2 linked regions of the Drosophila melanogaster genome follow. The protein of the gene in region 1 purifies or fractionates together with the protein of each later gene. This does not show direct contact. Each region holds a gene or a part of one and is shown on either strand. Other genes may lie near its edges.

The links. Proteins that work in one complex are often made in the same cells at the same time.
Region 2: the proteins of ABCB7 (region 1) and CG11836 purify together in Drosophila melanogaster (affinity purification with mass spectrometry, with the first as the bait; one large-scale study listed by BioGRID). This does not show direct contact.

The regions. Positions count from the first base shown.
Region 1 is NT_037436.4:1,614,723-1,623,913, reverse strand, and holds ABCB7 (ATP binding cassette subfamily B member 7), read right to left. Parts: upstream 5,501-9,191; 5' UTR 5,414-5,500; coding exon 5,297-5,413; intron 5,067-5,296; exon of another isoform or gene 4,997-5,066; coding exon of another isoform or gene 3,656-4,996; exon of another isoform or gene 3,517-3,655; intron 3,487-3,516; coding exon 3,360-3,486; intron 3,098-3,359; coding exon 2,872-3,097; intron 2,812-2,871; coding exon 2,657-2,811; intron 2,598-2,656; coding exon 1,249-2,597; intron 1,183-1,248; coding exon 925-1,182; 3' UTR 501-924; downstream 1-500. Other genes in the region: GC (gamma-glutamyl carboxylase), read left to right, coding at 1-401; CG33230 (uncharacterized protein), read right to left, coding at 3,656-4,996; CG13926 (uncharacterized protein), read left to right, coding at 5,812-6,207, 6,293-6,490; CG12105 (uncharacterized protein), read left to right, coding at 8,339-9,191; CG33791 (uncharacterized protein), read right to left, coding at 6,613-7,396.
Region 2 is NT_033777.3:25,069,159-25,073,212, forward strand, and holds CG11836 (uncharacterized protein), read left to right. Parts: upstream 1-1,967; 5' UTR 1,968-2,259; coding exon 2,260-2,518; intron 2,519-2,580; coding exon 2,581-2,967; intron 2,968-3,028; coding exon 3,029-3,105; intron 3,106-3,161; coding exon 3,162-3,440; 3' UTR 3,441-3,554; downstream 3,555-4,054. Other genes in the region: Stt3B (catalytic subunit 3B of the oligosaccharyltransferase complex), read right to left, coding at 1-396; CG11839 (uncharacterized protein), read left to right, coding at 807-892, 1,045-1,723; shams, read right to left, coding at 3,732-4,054.

The DNA of each region.
Region 1 (9,191 bases):
TCCCGGGACTAACTCTGACCAACTTCATCTCGCCGGACCTTATCAACTGCACGCTGACCATTCTTGAGGGAAATGTTCGGTACCGGAACGAGCGGGATCCGGAGGCCTATTTCCTGACAGCCGGCAAGAGCATCGGTCTGGAGAGCAACATCACCCACTTGGTCACCACCATTGGCCAGAAGCCAGCTTCGTATCTGTTCACATACACCAACAAAACGATGCTGGAGCAGGGCATCACGATAGAACAGCCTGATACCGAGGAGCGGTCTGTCCTGCCGCTGTGGCAGGAGTTCCAGCATCGGGTTACCAACTACCAGCAGTTTTTGGGCCACATTGGCAACTGCCTAATGTACTTGCTCTACGATGTGCCCATTCCGCAGGCCGTAAAGGGGGGAGATTGAAGGAGAAGGCTAACCATCGGCACTATTTCGGTTTTAGCCGTATCTAGATTCGATATTAAATCTGGTTAAGCAAATTCAAAACCTATATTGCCTATAAATCAGAGGATAACAATTTATATTGAAGAAATGAAGGTCCGATTTGAAGGATATACACAAATCCTCTTGGTTTTGTCTATATATCAATGAAATGCATTTAATAATATCACATTATTTTGCATTTACATAACGATACGCTCAAATCAATTAAATCTCGAAACAAAACCTTGGAAACCAGAGCGATATAACCGAATGTATGGGTGATAAAACTGATAATAAATGTTCCATATTGTACCACATCCCGTTCAATTTCTCTTATCGCATATCTACAGCTGTATTTACAAACGTCACAATGATACTTTAAGCCTATGAATAGCGAATCTCCGGTCCAGGAGGATTCTACGGTGAATTTAGTGGCTAGGGATTGCCAAACGAAGGGGATGGTTATAACATTATAACAAACACATAAATAGGCTAGGAGCCTCGTCTACGCCACGCCCCGCGTCTTCTTCGCTGCCACCTCCTCATTGATCTCCCGGCTCGGGTCGAACTGCTGCGTCTGCGTCTCCCAGAGGCGGGCATACAGTCCATTCTGCCTCAGCAGCTCCGAATGGGTGCCACGTTCACCTACACGTCCGTTCTCGAGCACCAGAATCTCGTCCGCATCCTTGACTGTCGAGAGACGGTGGGCAATGCAAATGCTAGTGCGTCCTGAGGTAGCGCGGGTCAGAGCCTGCAGAATGTTCTACAAAGGGAAGAAGTCCGATTCCGTCAGTTTATAGAAGTTCACTTAGTCGCTTTCAACACTCACATGCTCGGTGATCGAGTCCAGACTGCTTGTAGCCTCGTCAAAGATCAGAATGGGGGTGTTCTTCAGTATGGCCCTAGCGATGGCAACGCGCTGCTTCTCGCCACCGGATAACTTTAATCCACGTTCGCCTACCTGAGTGGAGTACTGTCCTGGCCAGCTCATGATGGAGTCATGCAAATCAGCCATGCGGGCAGCATTCTGCACTTCTGCGTGGGACTTGGACAGGTTGCCATAGTGGATATTGTGCTCGATGGTGTTGTGGAATAGCACCGAATCCTGCGGCACCACTGCAATAACCTTGCGCAGGCTCTCCAAATCCACGGCGCTGATATCCTGGCCACCGATCAACACTTTACCAGAGTTTGGCTCAAAGAAGCGGAAGAGAAGGCGCACCATCGACGATTTTCCTGAGCCAGAGCCGCCCACAATGGCGACGTTTTTACCGGCGGGTATGGTGAAACTGAGGTCCCGGAAAATGGGCTTGCCAGGTTCGTACTCGAAGCTCACGTTGCGGAACTCAATGGATGAGTTAGTGGTGTCCACGAACAGGGGCTGGGCATTGGCGGCTGTCTGAATGCTACTGTCCACGTTCATCAACGTGAACATGGCCCGCATGTCCAGCAAAGCCTGTCGCACCTCACGATAAACACTGCCCAGAAAACCGAGGGGGATCGAGAGCTGGAAGAGCAGGGCGTTGACCATCACCAAATCTCCAACCGTCATGTTGCCTTGGGCAATCTCCTTGGCGGCCAATACCATAATCAGACTCAGTGCGCTGCTGAAAATGGCGTTCTGGCCAAAGTTGAGCAGAGCGAGACTGGAGCTAGTCTTCAAGCTGGCCGCCTCATACTTCTTCAGCACCTCGTTGTAGCAACCCGCCTCGTACTTTTCGTTGTTGAAGTACTTCACCGTCTCGTAGTTGATCAGCGAGTCTACGGCCTTGTTGCCGGCCTCGTTCTCCGCCTGGTTCATAAATACACGGAACTGGGTGCGCCACTGGGTCACACTCAGAGTGTAGGCAGCGTATATGCCAACGCAGCCCATGCTGACACCAGCGAAGGCCAGGCCACACTTCACTCCCAGGATACTGGACACGAGGGCCAGCTCAAAGATAGTGGGCACAATGTTGAAGACCATGGCGGAGAGCACAAAGTTAATGCCCCTCGATCCTCGATCGATGGTCTTTGACAGTGCTCCAGTTTGTTTGTTCAGGTGGAAGGCCAGATCCAGGTTGTGCAGATGCAGGAACACATTGCTGGCGATCTTTCGGATCGAGTGGTGGGCCACCTTGGCAAACACTGCATTCCGCAACTCATTAAAGCCCGCCGCACTGGCTCTAGCAATGCCATCTGCGTGAATTAGACAGTTAAGATCTTTTATGATAGGGAACTCAGGCTAAGAAACCTACATCCCAACATCAGTGCGGTGGCTGCGGAGAGGACCGCATCCGGGGCAGTGTCCATGTTCAGCGTTGTCATCGTGTCCACAGCTCCTTTGAACAAGAAGGGGACACAGACGGTCAGCAGCTTGGAGCCAGCCAACAGACCCAGGGAAATACCCACCCTGTCAATTTGGAAAACAATAGATATTAAAGTATTCTCAGTCATAGTCAGATGAACTTACCGCTTTCGCACCAGTGGATCCTCCTTTGGCCAGATGTAGGCCATCATGGCACGCAGCATATCCTTGGAGGTGACCTCCGGCGCGTCTAGCTTGCCCAATCCCGAGCCACCATCGCTGCCGCCCCCTATATGAACATGACATAGTCGTGATTGCTGTTGTTGTGGGCGGTAAGGTCGCTGCCGCTGTAGCGTTGTTGTTTTTGCTGCTGCTGCTGCTGGGGCTCCACCTGCATTGAATTCACTTGGATGCAGCCAAATTCAGACAGGCGCTCAACACAACAAGCGCACAAACAAACAAAGAAACAAACGGACGCACGTACTCGGTCCACAAAACAAAATCAATTTTGGGTTGGTTAGTCAATAAAAAAAAAGCGTGAGAGGCTAGTACTAAATAAAAAGCCTGCGGATATCTGCAGGGGTGCTGTATTAATCAGGATACTCGAGCATTGGTTATTTACTGGGTAACTGATGCTGCCCCACGGCACCTACCTTTGGCCTTCTTGCCGAATACTCCACCCAGGAGCTTGCTACCCGGCGTGGGCGTAAACGGGGTAATCTTCTTCCGCTTGGCATCGCTGCTGTTCTTATCATCAACCTTAGTCAGCGAAGAGTACAGCTGAAAGGGGTCATTTACAAAATAAAGTTTACAGTTTTCTGTGATTTATTAAAAAAAATTTAAATGCCTCAAATAATATAAACTTAAGTAGTTTTTCTTTAACATCTATTACTATTCATTTCAATATTAAACGCCTTGTTTTAAATTCTAAGCTCAGCCTAGACAGCTTCTATGCAGCTAGATGCACCGATTGAAAGTCAACGAGGTAACGGATACACTCTTGGAGGTAAGACCGTGCCACTGCACCACTTTCTGTCAATTTAGGAAGCTTATCCAGCTCTCCTCCAAAGATCTCGTATTCCTTTATTTTATATTCTACGAGGTACGACAGCTCTGGCTGCACGTCCTGAAACTGCTCGGCGTCTCCAAAGGCAATCTGGTTGAGGATGTTGGGAAAGTAGGCCTGCTGCTTGAAGATCAGGTGCAGCACAACCCTTAGATTGTGAGAGCATCCATCGTCGATGTGCACGAACATTTGATCGTTCAGATTGTGCTCCCTGATGAATTTAAAGATGTTCCGGTGAAAGGTTTGCGTTGATAGCTCCTTGTTTTGCTTAATCATGTGCTCAATGTCCAGTAGGGAGACTTCAAAGTAATCGTGCTTATTTTCTCTTAGCCAAAAGCCATATTCCGTCAATAGCTTAAAGTTGGGCAAAGCACCGTAGCTGATGAACAATTGATCATATGGTTTGGTCTCGGAAAATGGCAGAGATTTCAATGTAAGAACGTAATCGGGACCCTCAATCCCTGCTGTGATTTCCACTTGATCTGAGTGGTTAAAAAGATCCAGAAACGGAGCCAATGCCAGGTTGGTGTCGCCACTGATAAGCGGCTGAAAGTAGTTGCTCTGCTTTTTCAGAAAGCGGGAACTGAGGTGGACGCTCCTAGTGTTCACGCTGAAGTAGGCCCACTTAAAGTCTGCGAGTGTCCAAATCTCCTGGCCGTAGCTCTTCCCACAGCAATCGCATTTGTGTACAATGTTCTTAATAATTTCAAAGTAACCTCTTATCTGACGGTTCTGGGCCACGGTCCGCTCTAGCAGGGATTCTGGCAGACACTGTAGCTCGGGTATGGAGCAGAAATACGGAGTGGAGTAGCACCTGGGCAGGGTGTCCAAATATGCAGCGTAAGTAGAGGAGTGAGTCCCTAGCGTACACTCCTGCAAGTGCTTGTGGTACAAAATATAACAGGCTATCAGTGCCTGAAAGGAAATTCTGGAGTCCTTGTCAAATAACTCTTCGTCGAAAAGACTTTTGAATGGCCCATCAGATTCCAGAGTCGCTATGCTTATGAGACAGCCAATGGGCAGGCGAATGAGCTCATCCTCCGGAGAAAAGGTCTTCTGTTTAGAGCATAGTCCTCGACCTGTCTGTTCGTAGTATTGGGCCGACAAGTGAGTGTGGTTCTGCCAGCCAACGGAGTGTAGATGAACGTAGAGGTCGTGCAGGGAGCCCGAATTCTCGTCAGACTTCTTGGCCCTCTGATGCCGGCGACGCTGCGTGCGACCCATTGTCCCCAATACCCGATCGATCCTCCAAGTCTGTGTGCGTGCGCGCTGTTTTGGTCTAACTCTATGCTTGCTGCAACGAAATAAGCCATAGCGTGGAGCATTAATTCAAGATTGATCGGATGGAAGTGGAGAAGGACCAAAACAACGCACACGCAGACTGTTTTCCCCGCCGATCGCCGGCTGTCCCCACTCAATCAAACCGCCAATTTATTGCGTATTTACGCGTAATTACGAAACCGTAATCTAGTCTAGATAGTCTGGCAGGTGGCCTTGAAATGGGTCTAGAGGCCGAGCACTCACCACTCTTGCCTGCACGTGTGTTCCCGGTCCCTTAGCGAGTGTGTAGCATTTCGCGCGTCCCAAGTGGGCGGGTAGGTGGATGCTGCACTGCTTGGTCAGGTGAAGGAGTCCGGCCATTACTCAATTGCCAGGCGAAAACAAAATAAAATCCCTCTTCTTTCGCACCGTCCCTGTGTTTTTGCTACGATATCAGCATTCGCATGGCAGCGTCAGCTGTTTGGAGTTGCCGTATCGCTGTGAATGGCAAGCCAAGTAGCAGTCGCCTGAACTAGTTCCATTTAAAATTTAAAAAAAAATCTTTTTTTAGGATTTTGGAATATGCATCAACTGTCAGAACATATGCAAGCAACAAATTCCAATATACTTCAATATATTTTTTTGTTAGAAACGTAGTGGGCTGTACACCATTAGGAAAGAAAGCATCGATAAGGTAGTTCCTTTTTGCTCATCTCCATAACATCTCCTCCCCCAACAAAGCGGGCATATCGAATTCTGGAATAGTCCACCGCTCGAAAATGTCGCTATTCGGTCTGATAGTCTCCGGACGCCTGCCCCAATCGGATTTTGTGGCCGTGGACGCCACCAAGTTGCTCGTGAATGTGCCCGACATAGAATCCGTCAACTACCTGGTAGTATTCCTCACCGGCGTATCACCCCTGCCCGTCGGCACCTCCGCTGCGATATATTTCAGCTGGCCGGACGCGAACGCAGCACCCACATGGCAGTATCTGGGTCACATAAACAACACCAAGCCCTCCGCCATCTTCAAAATCGCCCAGCTGAAGAAGAGTCACGAGCTGGAGGCCCAGGCTCACGGGATGGTCTTCGGCAGCCAGGAGATCTCACACATCGCACAGATTGGAGTTTCCCTCGAACCGGAGCTAACGGTGGCCCAACAGACGCCAGCCGTGGTAAGTTCTGAAGATCAGTAGTTGCCAACCGATTTGATTGGCGCAATAATTGCGATTCAAATCTAACCCCATTTCCAATTTTCAGTCCACTGCCAACGACAACAAGCAATTTGGTCAGCGAATGCTGGAGAACTTCTTCAACTACGCCTCCAGCTTCGGAGTGGCAGCCAGAGACATCCCGCCCATCTCGAGCGAGACCTTTGTGCCCTTCTCCGTCGTTCAAAATTGGTATACGAATTTCCAGCGTCGCATGGAACAGAATCCAAACTTTTGGAAGTACTGAGCAAAAGACAATGGAGGCGTCGCCTCCACAAGTTGTTGATATTACAAGTAAAGTTTTATATTTATATTCTTTCTGTAACTATTACCTATCTTTATTGGTGGACTTACAAAGGAGGATTCAAACTAGGGCTGTGGTTTTGTTGGGTCCAGTTCCGACTCCCCGGGAGTGCTTTGGGTTTCATTTCTACTGCCGTAATCTTTAGCAGGTCTGCGCTTTATGAATTCTGTATTGGAGGGCGCAGTCCGGAATGGTCCACGAGAAGTTGGCGTCGGAGCTGGAGCCGACCCTGATTTCTTTTTGCTTAAGGATTCTTGTCTTGTAGAAGGAGATATGCCGTCGTGAGAGGGTGAAGGTGACTTTCTAGACGGACTGCGGGAGGCCGATGCCCTGGGAACTACACTCGGTGCTGGAGCAGAGCCCGATCTCTTCCAAGCTGACGGTGATGCGCCATCATATGCAGAAGCATCTGGTTCCCTATTTCGAGCAGCTGAATCTTCATCAACCAGATTAGGAGCTGGAGCCGAGCCGGACCGCTGCTTTCCACCCCTTGGAGGTCTACTTGGCAGACTGATCAGTGGCTTACGGGGTGCTGGACCTGTAGGAGCTATAGACGCAGATGGAGACGAATCGGATCTCTTTTTTCCTCCAGATTCGCCCTTACCTGGTGGCGGCGACGAACCGCCCTTTGGTGGAGCGGCTGGTGGCTTAGTACTGGGTTTCGATTGCGCATCCGCCTTGGCCTTTGCCTGCTGCTTCTTGATCCGATCCTCGATTCGCTTCTTGTTCTCCGGCGTCAGCTCTCCGAAGATGCTTGTGATCAGGGCCTTGTACTCGTTGTAGTGCTGCACCTTGTTGCCCGTCGCTGGCGAGGCGCTGGGCGGTCGTCCGTGATAGGACACGCAGCGCCTGCGAGGAAGAAACAGAATGGGATTAGAATTGCTGAATGGACACCCAGTATTACCCCACGTCACCCAAATAGCGCCGTGCTCTGTGGTCTATTTAAACAATAGCATTGTCGGTGGGCGACGCGAGCTGATTTTTATTCGGTCTCTTTGCCTGTCGTTCTTTTTTTTTTTGTGGCCCGCAAAAAACCAATTTGGCAAGCTGACATATATATTTCGGCTATATAGCAGACCCTATCCGATGTGCATATACAAGAGCGCTCCTCGGTCTGCCCAGCATCCGAAACACGCGCGACCTCCCCTGACCAAACTTTGATTTCTATTGTTTTACAAGATCTATCAACATTGATATGCCCTGTAGTTAATTCATCCATGTGGTCCATGAGTCTACATAGGAATCATGTCCAGTTATTTCAGTTGGCTTAGATAAGTCGAGCAGATTAGTATTATCTACATTTTGCTGAGTGGAGGGAATTTTTTAATAAACGAATAGCACATATTTTAACACTGAGAAGATAATAAAATTATGTTTACGTTAGCTGAGAGAACATTATTATAAATTATAAATACTAAACACTTTCTTGAACAACAAATAGCTGGCTTGTTTTTATCTTATAGCACCAAGTGATTTGAACAGTTTTATTTTGGTGAATTGAAAACAACCACTATAAGTACCCATCTGCAGGGCATTGTTAATTCGATCCTTATGCTCACCTGACGCCGCACAACTCATGTGCAATTACATAGATTGCAGACTGATCAATGATCGGATGGTTGCCAGCGAGGCGCAGCCACTGGGAACGAATTGAGATAGACGGATCACGGTGCATCCGCCGACGGATTGCGCCAGTTTAGCTTGCAACGTGTTGAGTGATACATAGTCGATTGTGATCGGAGGAATAAGCCCGCTTTGGTCGCGTGTTGGCCACGACAATAGGTCAGCAGGATGATGACAAAGACACAGCAGGCGGATTGGCCGGCAGAATCGGGGGAAGCAGAGGAGCAGACATTGATGTCGCAGGCAGCAGCTAATAATAATATTCATAATTCGCAGTGGCTTGTTGATGGCATCGCAAATCAGGGAGCTGAGTCAGCCGTGTTTTGTTGGTCAAAGGCGGCGGCGCCGGAAGTGCTCGGAATGGCAGGGCAATTTCCGGTTGGCCAAGGAATCGCTTGGCAGAGCAGCTTTCCCATGAATCACGCGGGTGGAAGCAGGAACATGCAGGTCTGCCAGACATATTACCAAACAATGCAAACAGGAAAGTTTCCCTTGCATCTGAAATCAAGGAGCAACCAAGGATTTCCCTTGTTTTTCTTCAAGCACCAGAAAGAAGCAGAGAACCACACAATTTTAGATGAAACTCAACTATTCAGCCCACATCATGTATACGCACCGTGCACAGCAAGATTCCCCATACATCAAGTATACGCCCCGTGGCAGATGAACTTTCCCAGACTGCTGCAATTGCCCCGCAAGAATTCCGACGGCCATTTCCCAGAAATGAGCACCACCATGACCCGACGCGGACAGGTGGCCAGCTCACACGCTGAGCAGGCGTCCCAGGAATTTCCCATAATTAAAAAACGATTTGTTAGCTTTCCCAATTATCGAGCAATGTCTGAAGATGAGCCCGAATACCCACATCCACATCCACCCACCGCCGCCACAACAACAATGACGCAGCCGGGCCTCGACAAAGTCACCGAAATAGACAAAATAGACGAAATAGATGTAGGCGGAGGAGGAGCTGGTGTACATAAGGTGCCGCCGATGTTTGATAATGAACCCGAGGCCGAGG
Region 2 (4,054 bases), on another chromosome or scaffold:
GGTGGAGATGGAGGTCAGGCCACTGAAGATCGGCGCCAGGAACACGCAGATGTCACGAATATGGACCGGTATGTTGAGTACGTGCAGCAGCCAATGGATTCCGCCGGACGTAATCATCAGGCCGGGATAGACGGTACCGCCCACAATCCTGCCGAGCGGATACCATGCGCGCTCGTCGAACCAGTTGAGGAAGTTGTACCAACCATTCTGCACCATGTAGGCGGTGGCCCGGTAGTTGAACCACGGATCAAACTCATGGATAATCGACTCGAAACGGATGACGGCGAAGAGGCGAGAGGAAAATCCGGCCAGCCAGGCGATTAGCAGGATGGCGAAGGTGATTAGGCTGCTGTAGCCAGCCACCTTGCTGTTCAGCATCTTCGGCGTCCGATTCATGTCCCAATTCCAGCCAGTAACTCGAAAATTATAACCGATCTGAAATGCAACGACACATTCTTCGCTTAGACACGTAGTCTAAAAAAATTGCCGGGTAGACTGCCAACTCGGTTTTAGATACGCTATCGATAGTGCAATCGATAACAAGACCAGGGCAACGTAACTTTGAATGCTTTTAAATTTGTACTTGCCTCGTTTTCGTTGTATTCCAAAATAATTTAAAATACATCTAAACAATTTTTTGGAATAACTTTTTGTTCCATTTATTTGCATAGCATAAAAAAATAAGCAAACTCTCCATTCCATTTGTTCTGTGTCTTGTTCAAAATAATCGCCGTTGCGCTCATCTCTAGTTTAATTCCTATGATTGACAGAAGCCGCTGAAAAACCTAAGAATATTGAAAATCAACATGAATAATGGGAATATAAAACGCCTTCAAAAGAAACTCAGCGTTTCGAAAAAGCCAGCAGTCACTGTGGATTCACCATTGGCAAAATATCCTTTACAAAAGCAAAAAACCCACTGAAATTCTATTGTTGTTTACACTTTCTAGCCGGTGTTTACTAAAACATGTTGTTTTCTAATATAACTTTTAATTTCGAATAAATATCCAGCTAGTTGGTTTCCTTAACTGAACTTAACTATACGTATGACTCCTCGGGCATCTTGACCTGCATTATTTGCAGGATTCCTATCAAACCCAACGTCTGGAAGGTGCATATAAATTCCAAGCAGCACAAACTGAACGTCGATCAGGCTAAGCAGAATAAGGTGGAGAAACCCGTCACCACTACTGCACCCAAGGATCCTACGGGTCCGTCCACCAAGACTTCAGCTCCTGCCAAAAACTCCAGCACACTGCCAGATAAAACTCCACAGAGCAGCCAGGAAAAGCATCCTCCCCTCATTCAAGAGAAAACTGCCCAGGGAAATGCGAGCAGCAAGCCTGAGAATGAAACTACTGTCGAGAAACTGCCAGAAAAGTTCTTCGACGAGGATAAGACCAATAAATCGGAGGCCGCTCGCCTTCAGGACGAGGAATGGCAGCGATTCCAGCAGGAGATCAAGCGGGCGGACACGGAATCCAGTGAAATTGTGGCCGACGAGCAGGAGGACATCAATCTCAAGCGACACATCAAGGAGATCGACGAGCAGATCGACAACTGGAAGAGATTTATTAAAATTAACGATCAGAAAAAAGTACTCCTTAGTAAAAAGCGAAGAGTAGACCCCAAGATGGAGGTCGATCCGGAATTGAGTTCAAGCGAAGAAGATTGCAGTGTGGATGATTTGTTCGACTGGAGAACGAAAAATCTGCATAGCTAGAGAATAAATATGGTATTAAAATGTTACTGTTATAAAACAACAAACGTCTTTTAATTAACGCATTATTCCATTCAAAAGTCTTTCCAAAGCCAAAAAAATTCAAAAAAAAAAGCGTGTTAGAAAATTTTGAAAATATAATTTCGTAGATTTTTATAAACTGAAAGTGAAAAAAACTGGTGGAACAGCTGACACATCTTGACCATGAAAGTGGTCAACAGGTAGAAAGTGGTACGTGGCCACACTGCGACTAACTCTCACATTTTGTATTAGCGCTAAGCGATCCGTACGCTACATTACTATCAGACTTAGTACATATTTTATGTTACATTAATTAGTTACAGACTCTTATTTATTCTTAAGCCGTATCTACAGAAACCTTGTTAATGTTGTGTTGAGTATTACGTATTAGTTGTGCAAATGTTTTGTTGTGTTTAAGAATGTTTTGAACTCGTTACGTTGTTTGTTTGATGTGATCAAGTTTCCCATAAACACAAACATATCCCCCCATTTGTTACAATGATATCTAATTCGTGAACATGAGCCTAAAGTATATAATCTTTTTTTGGATGTTGACGGCGAACTATTCAAGTGTCTTAAGCTTGGAATATTCCAAAGGTTTCAATGAGTCGGACGCTATTAACACAATTCACACGGGCCACAATAAACGAACCAGTAAATTTCTATTTGACACAATTTTTCGCATAAGTTCGGGAGTATCGAATGCCTTTGGACTTTCGGATACCGAAGACGAGGTCGAGTATACCGAAAATTCCAGCCTAAAAAACTGTGACTGTGGTATGTGCATGTGTTGTTTGTTGCTGATATTTAAATTAATGTGATAAATTTCACTCGTGCAGATTGTGGCTTTTCGAACGAAGAAATCCGGATTGTTGGGGGAAAGCCCACGGGTGTTAATCAATATCCTTGGATGGCACGAATCGTGTACGACGGCAAGTTCCATTGCGGAGGATCCTTACTGACGAAGGATTACGTTCTATCGGCCGCTCACTGCGTGAAGAAACTGCGAAAATCCAAAATCAGAGTCATATTCGGCGACCACGATCAAGAGATCACCTCGGAGTCACAGGCCATCCAACGTGCGGTTACGGCTGTGATAAAGCACAAGAGCTTTGACCCCGATACATACAACAACGACATTGCCCTGTTGCGACTTCGCAAGCCTATATCGTTTTCTAAAATTATAAAGCCAATCTGCCTACCGCGCTATAATTACGACCCCGCAGGTAAATATTTCTAGCATTCCTAGCAATAAATATGTATATATTAATATGAAATTGGATTTAGGTCGCATTGGAACGGTTGTCGGCTGGGGACGGACATCCGAGGGAGGAGAACTACCATCCATAGTTAATCAAGTTAAGGTGAGTAATGCTATTTGGTTTCTTGAGTATATTATGACCATCTACGACAATTGCAGGTGCCAATCATGTCCATCACGGAATGCCGAAATCAAAGATACAAAAGTACTCGAATTACCTCATCCATGTTGTGTGCGGGTAGGCCTTCCATGGACTCATGCCAGGGCGACAGTGGAGGACCGCTGTTGCTATCCAATGGCGTTAAGTATTTCATCGTCGGCATTGTGTCCTGGGGCGTTGGTTGCGGCCGCGAAGGATATCCGGGTGTTTACTCCAGAGTGAGCAAATTCATACCGTGGATTAAGTCTAATTTAGAAAATACCTGCCTGTGTTCATAGTCAATGTTGTGTGCAAATGCACGACCTTATTTATTGCCTAGCTTAGTCCGTTTTAATGCAAAGTGTCTTTGTTACTCCACCAATCCATCGAAAATAAATATAATTGTTTCATTTAAACTATTGAGATATTAATCTGGATTAGCTGAAGCACAGCTTTCATATATACATTTTTATTGCGTATATAAAAAACGTAGTTCTATAAAAACTATGACTAATGTATATCGGGATATAAGTGCTAATCCTACACTTTCTAATAATAACCTAGTGCATTATTTTACAATTACTGTACTGCTAGACTTCCCTGTACCTTTTAGTTACGACTGCGTTCGCCACTTTTAAGACTTCATTTGATATTTTTCCACAGCTTGAGTTCTTGATGGATGGTATACTGAGTGCTGCATGCAAGGGCATTAGGAATTCGGTGTTGGCGTTGGAGCCCAGTTGGTAGTTTTCCATAGCCCCGTAGATACTCTTAAAGAGTGGCTGCCTGTCTGAATGGAAATAACCACGATTTCCGTGGATAACCTTAACGCCAGTTTGAGACATATTGCAAATGCTCATGTACATGCAGTGATCTGGACGGTAGTTGTATTCGCATGGCATGATGTACAGCT